Coturnix japonica: one gene and its partners. The protein of the gene in region 1 purifies or fractionates together with the protein of each later gene. This does not show direct contact. Links are inferred from orthologs where the notes say so. Each region holds a gene or a part of one and is shown in the gene's direction. Other genes may lie near its edges.

What was found.
Region 2: the proteins of FBXO22 (region 1) and KDM4B purify together in Homo sapiens (affinity purification with western blotting; 3 studies listed by BioGRID, with this or other methods). This does not show direct contact. The link is inferred for Coturnix japonica from reciprocal best matches to the Homo sapiens genes FBXO22 and KDM4B.
Region 3: the proteins of FBXO22 (region 1) and RBX1 purify together in Homo sapiens (affinity purification with mass spectrometry; 4 studies listed by BioGRID). This does not show direct contact. The link is inferred for Coturnix japonica from reciprocal best matches to the Homo sapiens genes FBXO22 and RBX1.

Annotation. Positions count from the first base shown.
Region 1 is NC_029525.1:2,728,877-2,732,624, reverse strand, and holds the start of FBXO22 (F-box only protein 22), read left to right. Parts: upstream 1-1,267; 5' UTR 1,268-1,367; coding exon 1,368-1,483; intron 1,484-1,563; coding exon 1,564-1,696; intron 1,697-1,787; coding exon 1,788-1,875; intron 1,876-2,082; coding exon 2,083-2,178; intron 2,179-2,763; coding exon 2,764-2,928; intron 2,929-3,748. Other genes in the region: UBE2Q2 (ubiquitin-conjugating enzyme E2 Q2), read left to right, coding at 184-215. UniProt on the Homo sapiens protein: Substrate-recognition component of the SCF (SKP1-CUL1-F-box protein)-type E3 ubiquitin ligase complex that is implicated in the control of various cellular processes such as cell cycle control, transcriptional regulation, DNA damage repair, and apoptosis.
Region 2 is NC_029543.1:3,820,683-3,824,330, reverse strand, and holds part of KDM4B (lysine-specific demethylase 4B), read left to right. Parts: intron 1-595; coding exon 596-713; intron 714-3,604; coding exon 3,605-3,648. UniProt on the Homo sapiens protein: Histone demethylase that specifically demethylates 'Lys-9' of histone H3, thereby playing a role in histone code. Does not demethylate histone H3 'Lys-4', H3 'Lys-27', H3 'Lys-36' nor H4 'Lys-20'.
Region 3 is NC_029516.1:45,482,870-45,486,617, reverse strand, and holds the start of RBX1 (E3 ubiquitin-protein ligase RBX1), read left to right. Parts: upstream 1-1,220; 5' UTR 1,221-1,235; coding exon 1,236-1,364; intron 1,365-2,165; coding exon 2,166-2,244; intron 2,245-3,748. UniProt on the Homo sapiens protein: E3 ubiquitin ligase component of multiple cullin-RING-based E3 ubiquitin-protein ligase (CRLs) complexes which mediate the ubiquitination and subsequent proteasomal degradation of target proteins, including proteins involved in cell cycle progression, signal transduction, transcription and transcription-coupled nucleotide excision repair.

The DNA of each region.
Region 1 (3,748 bases):
TGGAGATCTGGAGGTGGTCAGTAAAGGCCACGTACACTTGATCCGATAGAATTCAACATACCAAATGCTGTCAGGAGCCAGAGTTACTCAGCTGACATTTCTGCCACCCATTCAGAAGGCAGCTGGTAAGCTCCTTTGAGCGGAGCCAGGGCAGCGCCTAATGCATTTCTCTGTTCTCCATAGGCTGGTACACTCCTCCAAAAGAAGACGGTTAATACCGAGGACTGTTGTATACCTGGACCAATGCCAACAAAAAGAGCTCTTTTTAATGTTTTCCAACACAGAGACTCGAGCTATGAGTGCCCCTATAACAGCCGTACTGAAGACTTTAGCTATTAGATAAGTTAGTGGATAATCTGTCAACTGACACGTCAAGTATAAGTTGCAGCCTTACCATTCCGCTCATCTTAGGCATCTTGGACTGAGCAGTCTGGGCCTTTGCTGTATTTGTTCTTCATGGATGAAGCGTATTTGGGCCACTCCCTCCCTTCTCCCCTTTTTTACTCTGGAGGTGTAATGCTGCACTGGAGCATTCAGCAGGGCTCGGTCACACACTTCAGTGCATTTCTTACCTTTCGCAGGATGCAGAGCGCCGAGACTTGAGTTGTGTTGTTTCATTTAAAGCCAGGAGGTTGACTATGTTGTTTAATACTGTTATAGGAAATGTCAGACCTTGCGAATCACAGTAGTTTTGTTTGTTTTTTTTCCCTCCGGTCTAAAATGGCAGCGTTTGTAGTACTTCCAAATTACTGATATAGGACAAGCACATGTACGTTACGTCATTAAACATTTTCATGGCTGTATGAGAATACGAACTATTTCTTGGGAGAGATGCTCACGGCCCGATGCTTTTGCTCTGCTTCCCCTCCAGCAGTGCAGGCGTTGTGCCTGCAGCACAGCACAGCCCATGGGCTGCAGCTGCACGGCCGAGGCTCCGAGTCATTGCAATCCCTACAATAACCAACAAAAGCCCACGTCTGTAGGCGATCCATTAATTGACGGGTTGTTGCAATCATTTGTCAACTAACGAACTGATAAAGCGAGTGCGGCACGACGGGGCGACAGCGAGCGTGGACGTGCGACGGGACGAGCCGCAGCGTCGGACGGGGCCGGGCCCAGCGCTGCCCCCATCCCTTGGTGGGCCCGGCCCGGCCCGTCCCGCCCGTCCGAGCCGCCCCGTGCCGTGCTGTGTGTGTGTGTGTGTGAACCTGCACCGAGGTGCCAATAAAGCCGTTTGACACCCGCTGTACGAGCCGCTTCCGGGGCGGGGCCGGAAGGGATGCGGGCGGAAGTGCCGTCGCCGGAAGCGGAAGCGCGTCCCGCCGTGCTCGGTGGGTGTCGGGTGTGGCGCTGAGCAGCGTGTGGCCATGGACACGGACATGGACGGGCCGGGGAAGGGCGGCCTCGTGCTCGGGAACCTGGCCGAGGTGGTGGAGCGCGTGCTCGGCTTCCTGCCCACCAAAGCGCTGCTCCGGGCCGCCTGGTAAGAGACGGGGTAAGGGGGGGGTCGGGCGGAGGTGTGTGCGCCGTTGTTGAGGTGACGGGCCGGGCGCTGTGTTGCAGCGTGTGCCGCCTGTGGAGGGAGTGCGCGCGGCGGATCCTGCGCACGCGGCAGCGGCTCAGTTGGGTGTCGGCGCTGGAGCCCGGCCCGCCCGGCGGACACGCGCTGCTCCGCGCCCTGCACACGGAGCTCCAGGTGCGTCGGGGGGCGGGGCCCGGTTCGTTCCTGCCGGGCGGGGCCGGTACCGGGGCGGCGTGACGAGCCCGCGCCGCGCGTGTCCTTGCAGAGGGTGCACGTCCTGCCGCACACCGTGCTGTACATCGCCGACGCCGAGACGTTCAGCGGGCACGAGGAGTGTCACGAGCACAAGAAAGGTACCGCGGGACGGGCGGGGACCGGCGGGAGGAGCGAGATGAGGCCAGCGGGGAACGAAGCGCGGCCACGGCTCGCGGCACTAAACGGGGCAATGGCGTCGGTAGCGGCCGTGGCGCCAGAAGGGACCGGCCGGGGCTTCGTGTTCCTGTCAGCTTTGCAATGATCGCTTCAGCTCCTCCGCGCCGTTTTTGTTTCCTTTTCAATAGCCAGGAAAAGAAACAGCAAAGAAACAGCCCTTGCGATCGAGAAACTGTTGCCAAAGCGATGTCAGGTCCTTGGACTGCTCACCCCGGGGATCGTAGGTAGGAGCCTCCTTGCAGTGCTGCGCTCCTTAGTAGCGTGTTCGTGCCTGTCTTCTCACCTTCCGTTCTCATCCTGCAGTATACTAAGAGGAAACCTTCTTCCTTGTTTCTGTGTTTTCAAGGCATAGCTCGTGCCGTGCTTCTCGGCAGCAAAAGCGTTTATGTGTTAAAACATTTTCTAGGTGTTTGCTTGGTGTTTGCTTCCAGTCTCTGTCACTGCAGCCGTGACTAATAAGAACAGGCCTATAGCATGAAGGAGTACAGGGCTGCATAAACACCTGTGTGAAGTTAATAGCCGTGAACATTTGATTCTGTGCCTATGGCTGTTTGAGTACTTAGAGTAAGGAAAATTAGTGTATATGTCTGTCTTCTCATGCAAAGTGACTTTAGCATCGTTTGTGGACAATGGAGCTGTTACACCTTTCATCTTTCACAACAACAGCAAAAAAACATTCACACCAGTTATCAGTTAGATGTGTTGTGATGGGAATGAGCTGTCACATTGTAAATTGCACATGCTGTTCTACCTCTTTTAGCCAGACACAAGTGTCAATCACTAATCTTTCTTTGTTTGTGTCTTTGTAGTTACCCCTATGGGTTCAAGCAGCAATCAGCCTCAAGAAATTGAAGATGGTGAAGCTGGGTTTGCTCTTTTGTTTCCCAAAATTGATGGGGTTAAAATCCAAACCTTCCATTTTCCTAAAGAAGTAAAGAATAGGGTCATTGATGAAAACAAATTTGCTGAAGCAGGTATGTCCTTGTTCTGCCTTCAATCTGGGCTTTTGTCGAGTGTTTGGCTGCTCTTTGAGGATCCAGCGTGAAACTGCATGTGGGACCAGCAGCTCCTGTGCTGTGTTCACAGAGCACTGAGGCTCTGCAGGGCTGCTCTGGTAACCACCCATCTCTGTTCCACCCATTCTTGGGAGCACTGAGGTTATTATCCTGAGTTTGTCTCAAACTTCTTCATTCATGCTGCAAGCAGAGCTGCTAAAGGGGAGCTAGTGGGTTTGAAGCAACCCAGTAATTGATTAAAATGAGTTTTGTGCCACAGGGAATTATTTTGGCCATCACTGTTTAGAAGGGAGTGGGAAGGAGTTGCTGCTTTTCCTTAACAAAGTATTTTTGTTTTTAGATATGAAGTTGGGTGTTGTAGCAAGGAAAGGTATAAAGAAAAATTATCTGTCTTAATAATAACAGTTTACGTTCTTCATGTTGTGTTTATGAAGAGTGATCTGAGAGCTCTGAGAGTCTTCCTGGAACCTGGAAGTTTCTTTCTTGGGATGGGAACAGGCTGATGCACACATCTTAATGGTTTTTAATTTTCTAAGTAAAGCTGTTTACTCCACTGTGGTTCTCATTGAACAACGTGTGTGCTCAGTTTGAATCTGTAAAAGGATAATTAGGACAGTGAAGTAAAACCCAAGAAGTGTGCCATGATAAAACGCAAATGCTCTGGGAAAGAAGCTGAAAGCAAGAGGAAGCAGCTACATCTACTTTTCATCTCTGTTCTTTAATGAAATTCTCATGTGTGTAGGGAATGCAGCCCAGCTCATGAATACATGGCTGCCCT
Region 2 (3,648 bases), on another chromosome or scaffold:
TAAAAACAAAAACAAAACAAAACAACAACAACAACAAAAAACCATGTGGCGCTGTCTGTTTGTGGTACAAAGTAGCTTACATGTGATGTGTTTAGTACCTTTCACCAAAGAGGGCTGTGAGCTGCTATGATCAGCATACATGCAGTATTTGCAATGCTGGGTGGTGCATAGGACATTAGATACGGTACAATATAAACATATTTGTCATAAAATGCACTGTAATGTTTTAGTAAAGTATTTAGTAAAGTATTTCTGGTCCTATGTGCCCTGTGCATGATTTTAGTAATAGATTTTCCAACTGCTTTTGGGAATGACCAGACTTCTTGTGAGCCAATGGATCTGGCAGATTTGAAGCTTTTCTGAGCTGTTCTTAAGAAAATGCTGCCTGACATATTAAGAAGATAGCATTGGCTTTACCTACTGCAATAATTGGCGTGGAAAGCTCTGTTGATTCCATCCAAAAGACAATGAAAAGCCAGAAAGACTGTAAATTCAATAACCCTTTATGACAATAATTCTGCCTGTTGTCCCAATCTCTCCTTTGCTTTCCAAGACATTTTGGGGTTCCCATCTAACTTGTTCTGATTTGTTACAGACTGCTGCTTTTTCAAAAATGAAGATGGAGATAAAGAAAAGTCGTCGTCACCCATTAGGCAAACCACCAACCCGCTCCCCGTTGTCAGTGGTTAAACAGGAGACCTCGAGTGATGAGGGTGAGTGCAGTGGCACGAAGAATGCCTGTATGTCCTGTCTAATGTGAAAAATTGCTGCAGCCTGTAAACAAAGCTGGATGGCCTGAAAATTTTTGTGTTATGCTGAACTGGTAGGAAATATAGCATGTTCCCATTTATTCCCATAACCCCCCATTATTGCCATAACCCAGCCAGAGACAAAATATATCTGTGGGAGATGTCCCTTCTCACCTCCCATCCTTTATTCTATCAAGAAAAATATTTTCCTGGATAGGTAATGAGGTAACGTTTGGAGAAAAGGAAGTAAGTGTTCACAGAAAATAACCACATGAAAGCTGCCTCTTTGCTGCATTGCAGTGAGTTCTCTGCACCTCAGATGGAGGTGGAGATTGAGGTTAGACCCGCTGTGATGTATACAGGAAAGGTTAATTCTAACTTTTTGCTGGGCTTTTTGAGTCATACAAATGTTGTGGTCCAACTTTTTGTACTCTTGCTTCTGTTGTAGCTTCAGTAATTTGTCGCTTCTGGGTCCTATAAAGTACTCAAGATATAGAAGACTCCATAATAAACTGTTTCACACTTGCAGGTACATGAAGGTGTAGCTGCCAGACCCAGCTTTCAAGAAAATAAAAACTTTACATTCAAAAGGAAATAACAGAATATATTTCCTGTTCACTCCCCTTTTTTGGAAAGGATACTTGTTGATTTTAGAGGAGTTTTCTGTTTGGCAATGGAAGGTGTTGCACAAGCATCTGTCTACATCCTTTCTAGGGATGATGCATTTGATAGCCTGCGTATGTGTAATGTCAAGTGAAATGAAAAAACGTTTGAGACTAATTATCTTGTTTTGGTGTGAAGACCTTGCAACAAACTTTATGCTGGAGGATCCTCATTAGATGGATTCTTTTCACTGTTTTCACTTGTTGGATAGTGTATGGGGACTTTCCTGGCTGACTCAGGAGCAGCTTTCTTTGAAGGCTGGCGTTTCTTGGGGACTGATTTACAGCACTACTGGGCAAAAGATGATCAAACGGATTCTTCTCTTCCCTGCCAGGGAGTAGCAGCTCTCTGTGCGCCTTGCTTTTTCAGGGCTAATATATAAGGGTGATCTGGAGGCTGCAGCAAGGAAAAGTGAACATATAAATTAAAGGAACACAGTATTCTGCTCTAGGATTCATTTGAGACAAATTGCTAGTCTTTTCTCTGTGTGTGTAACTTCTTATTGAGGCATAGGAGGCATCATGAATTTTGAGTCTCACCTAGACTTAGTCCTAGGATGAGCAAAGGCAATGATCACATACAACAGTAATGACTGTTCTTTTTTCTCTGGCTGTCAGTATGGGTTTTGTTGCTGGTTTCCAGTCAGCTTTCATTGATTTAACTGGTAACATAAATCCTTTCTTGTCTCCTTATGTGCTTTGATTAAAATTTGGAGAACATATGCTTTGGTTTTGGCTTGTGTCTCAAAAATTCCTTGAAGGTACTTGATTTTTTTTAAGTGGTGAGTGTTGAGCTGTGCTTTGAAAGTAAGACACTGAGAATATCAATCTGCATACCCAAGGTCACTGATCGTTTTAATTCCTGCTGCATCCTACACAAGATGTGGACTAAGTGTGTTTAGCTGAAGTTACCACTGCATGACACATCCTTGTATATCTGTAAGGTCCAAAACAGAAATAAAATGTTTCAAGAAAGCAAGGATGCTTTAGAAAATTATTTTTGTTGAAGTGTGACAAAGCTAAAACTGTTCATAATCTCAGAAGAAGATTGATTGAGCACAATCCCACATTGTCTGACAAATAACTTTCAGGTTTGTTCGAGGGAACATTCAGAACCTTGACTGTGAACATGTCTGTGTTTTCCTGACAGTTCCTCTTATCTTTTCCAATTGGGTAAAAGTTTGAAAGTGTTAAAAGGGATGTAGAAGTGGAGAGAAGAGCATTAAATACCTCTTTCCAGTAATTAATGGTGAAGCAGTGAACAATGTGGTTTCAGTCACTGAGTTCTGAAGATAAAGCTCCACTGAGATGTTTTTGAGTCCTTCTGATCAAAGGTGTTCTTTGGGTGCTTTGCAGATTGATGCTGTGAGCAGTTTACATTTAGTCTTGCACTGAACATTTCTTAAATGCTTATCGTGACTCAGAACTCCTTAGTAATGAGTGGTAAGAAACTTGGATCCTCAGACTGGCACGAATGGATTCTGTGGTGGTTTAATTGTAAAATGCCAAGGGTTTTTTAAAAACAAAGAATTAGCAAACTAATTAGCATGAGTGGTGCCTATTGGAGCTCTGGCAGAAGAAAGTGTGGTGATGAATGTAAATTGAAGGCTCAGTGATGCGCACTTGATGGAAGTAGCTGTCAAGTAGTTGCAGAAAGGTAAAATGAAAATTTGAACTGTGTGCATCTCATGGCCAGCACTTGTGTTTGTAGAAACAGGTACAGGATGCACTTTGTGAAGGTTGAAATGGACTTGCTGCTGACAGCTGGGAATTGGGAGTTAGCCTAACCAAGCCAGCATGCACTGTATGCACAGCTATCTGAACACAGCTCCCAGTTGGAGAAAGTAAAGGGAGATTTCCCTGCACTTGCATTATGTATTTTGAATTGGGCTTCATTAAAGGATGCTGTTGGTTTCCAGGGTTAGAACAGTGGAGAGAGCAATAGATATTGATTGCTGCTGCTTCTTCCTCATGGATGATATTATCAGGTCATCATTCTCTGCTCTATCTGTCCAACCCATACAGTGGAAATTATATCAATTTAAGGAAGAATTTAAGACATACATGAAGAAGCATGAATGAGTTAAATGTTCCCATTTATTCAACTTGTGTTTTTGAAATATTAACTTTTTACTGTGCTATGGTTTGCCTCTACTAAAGACTGTTCATTATTTTGGAACTTTTTCTTTCTAGAAACATTTCCATTTTCTGGGGAGGAAGATATGAGTGACCCAGAG
Region 3 (3,748 bases), on another chromosome or scaffold:
AGAAAGAGCAGCAATTAGTCACCATCCCATGAAATGCTGCAACTCGTTCCTCTCTCTGAATCTCATCTGTTCATCTTAGTCAGATTATGGGGAGCGGGAGGCTTCATTTCTCACCTGAGGTTTTAGTAACAGATTGAAAAAACAATGGCACTACATGGGAATATAATGTGACCATCATCTAGAAAACACACAGAGGCAGAGGGATTGGGTTCATGCAGAAACCAACCATGATCTGGGCCAAAAAACTATGGGATATATTGCTTAATCTACCCCTCTGGCTCTGTTCTTAGAATTCAAATTTTCTCTGAGCACTCCAGATCAGCTGGGGATGCTACAGAGTATTGAAGTTCCATGATATTCATGAACTCTGAGAAGTTTTGTGGCAATGTGGAAAGACGGTAAATGAGGTACCATTTGTGATGCTGTCTGTCTGGACACTCACAACAGCAAAGGCAAACTTAGCCAAATCAATTACTTTTAGTGGCATCAGCAATGGAGGGCAGCCAGCCAGCCCTACAGTTCTTTAAGGAGTTATAAAATGCACTTCATTTTTATAACCTCTGTACAATAAAGTATTGCTCTAAAAAGTGTTTCGGAGCACATGAATTCCTGCTTTCTTTCAGAACATTTTCATTCCTGAGTGCATCCTGAGCGCCCCAGAGACATCCCACACCACTGGGGTAGCACTGAGGCTGATATGGTACAAAGGATATGCAGCTCAGCTCAGCCCACCTGAGGGGCTGGGAAGGGAGCAAGGGCTGAAGAGCAAGGCAACCTCCTCCCTTAAAAAGGCTCTGCCGGGGACGGAGGGGTGTGTGTGGGGGGGGGGGGGGGGGGGTAAGGGCAGGCCCTGGCGGAAGCCCCGCCTACACCTTCCGCTCACACCTCCCTGCGGCCCCTTCCGCCGCGCATGCGCACAGAGCGGAACGGCCTATTCACGCATCCAAAATGGCGGCTGCGATGGATGTGGACACCCCCAGCGGCACCAACAGCGGCGCCGGCAAGAAGCGCTTCGAAGTGAAGAAAGTGAGACCTGCTGGCGTGGCGCGCTCTACCCGGCCGGTCCCAGCGGGAGGAGGGAGGTCGGGAGCGGCCAGGTGGCCGCGAGCGGGTCGGGGCGCTGAGCCGCTTTCCGCGCCCCCTCACGGAGCCGGGCGTTGCTTCCGCACCGGCACCGCCGTATGAGGGGAGGGGGGGGCGGTGCTTGCGGAGTCTATTGGCGTGTGTCGGGGCCAATGGGTGAGACGGGTCTCCGCGCGTGGAACGGAGGTTGGCCAATCAGAGGGCGCGACCACGCGGGGAGGAGGAGGGAGAGAGGCGAGGCGGGGCTAGTTCTGGCTGGGCCCCGCCGCCCAGAGCCGAGGGTAATGCCGGGCTTAGGGGCGAGTCGGTGCGCTGCTGTTGCCTCCTCAGTCCCGGCTGCTTTGGCTCAGTTGTCTTAGTGGCCCTACGTGATGTGAAGGGAGCTTTGCACGCATTTGTGTGGCTGCTTCTTTTTGTATTCTTCACAAATCAACTCGTAGGTGACCAACAAATGCTGTCTTGTCATCCCGGTTTGCTTTGCTTCCCCCAAACAACCATAATATCCCTCTTTGGCCTAACAACCATAATATCCCTCTTTGACCTACCCTCTCCAGTGTGGCTGCGAGCTGAATGGTGGTGAAAGATCCCAAGTTCACTTCAACGAGGCCCGGAGGTGGTTAGGAGCACTTTGTGGGAGCACTTTTGATATTGTATATTTTTTGCAATGAAAATGATTCAGGAGTCGCTGAGGGGCAAAGTTAGAGGTGATTCTGGTTGTTGGCCCCAGCTGCTCTGAGGGATGATTACTGGGAAAACAGCTACAAACAAGAGAAGTTCCAAACTGAGGATGTGGCGTGAGATGCATTCTTGCCTCCAGATTATGAATTGAAATGCAGATGTTTGCATTTGTATGGCAAAAAAAAGAGAGTGGGACTAGTATCAATTGTTTCTGAGACTGGAAGGAGGCACTGAGTGTGAGAGGTATCTGAGAAAGAATTACTCTGGTGCTGTAAGGTGTGTGTCTTTTAATATCCTAACCTTATCATTTCAGAAAGAAAGAGGATCTTGAGGAATAATGAGGATTTCCATGTGTTATATGTTGAATAAAATTTATGTTTCTCTTTTTTCCCCCCTCACTCTAGTGGAATGCAGTAGCTCTGTGGGCGTGGGACATTGTGGTTGATAACTGTGCCATCTGCAGAAACCATATTATGGATCTATGTAAGTAAATGATGGGGAAGCGTGCTTACAGTTTTGACATGTACAAGATTCACAGTTGAAATTTCCACTGCTCAGGGTGCATTTCAGCAAATCTGGTTTTCAGTTCAGAATGAAGTCTTTCGGTAACACTATAAACTCTGTTCTATGTAGTGCTCAAGTTCTGCTTTCTGTGTCTGACTGACCAGAAAAGATTCAGGCCACTGAATTTTTGACTCCTCATTCTGCCAAAGCTACTTTGCCTAAATTAGGGTTATAGTGTGGGGAATTCTGTGGCCAGCTAGAGAATCCGTTTGTTATCTATGAAGAGAATAATCTAATGCCTAAACCAACACCAAGCATTGCTAGTACTAATTCACCTTTTTTTTCCCCCCTGTATGGTCCCAACAGTCCTGTTAACAAATACACTTACTATTTAGGAAAACAAAGTGGTAGTAGGAGTAAGTATAAAAAATTCTACTGTGAAATAGGTATCCATATATAAAGTCACCGGCTTTGGTCTAATTGAGGATTGGCAATAAGAACAGAGCCATTTTTTTTTCCCCTCAAATCTTTGGCAATATATGGTTGGCACCGTAACTGTCCATGTTCTTTCAATGATAAGATACAGAACACCTTTTAACATCCCCCAGATAGGAAGTCACCTGTACTACTAAAATGGGAGGATTGTGGTACCTCAAAAAGCAAGACCTTCAGTACCTGACAAGGGCTAGTCATGATTTCTTTGTGGTCGCTTTGTTTCACTTTCTTCTTAGTAGCCCTTGCAAGTACAGCTGATGGTAACTTACTGTTAGTGAGCCAATGTGATAATATAAAAGAGCAGGGGAAAAGAAAAAGAGGCTGTGCAGTGTACCATGCAGGGCTGAAAGGGGATTAAGCAAGCTGACTTCTTTGCTTTGAGTCAGATGTGTTCTATTTTGAGCCAGCTGCTGCCTGTCCATCGCTCACTTTATTCTTGATCATTAGAAGAGGAATGGTAGCACTAAAGGCAAGCAGGTGAGAGGAGTGGTTGTGACATGTGCTGAGGACCTCTGACATAGTGCTTTACAGTTAAGAATTGAGGTTGGGTGGAATTGAAAGAATATAGACGTGTTAGGAAGAACTTCAAAGGAAGAGAGCACAGGTAACTTAGTTTTTGTTTTGTTTTGCTTTTTGAGTTGCTCAAGCATAACACCTTATTAGTTAGGGCATAATCAATGCTATCAAAAGCCCAAACTGCAAATGATGGACCAAAATTGACAGTATACAGAGTAGAAGCGGTATCTAAATTGGTGTTCTGAGTTCAGCCTTGGCTCTGGATTTACTTACTTCCTTGTTAACGATCATTAATGATGTTAAGCAACATCTTAATTAGATTTTCAAACCGAAGATGTGAAGTGATGGGAAATAGAGAAAAAATTACTAGATTGTGCAGGGAAGAACAACACAAGATTCAGTTTGATAAAGTGCAGGGCAGGAATGTCTCCCTCTCCCACTGATGAGGAGAAACCTTAAAAGGGAAAACATT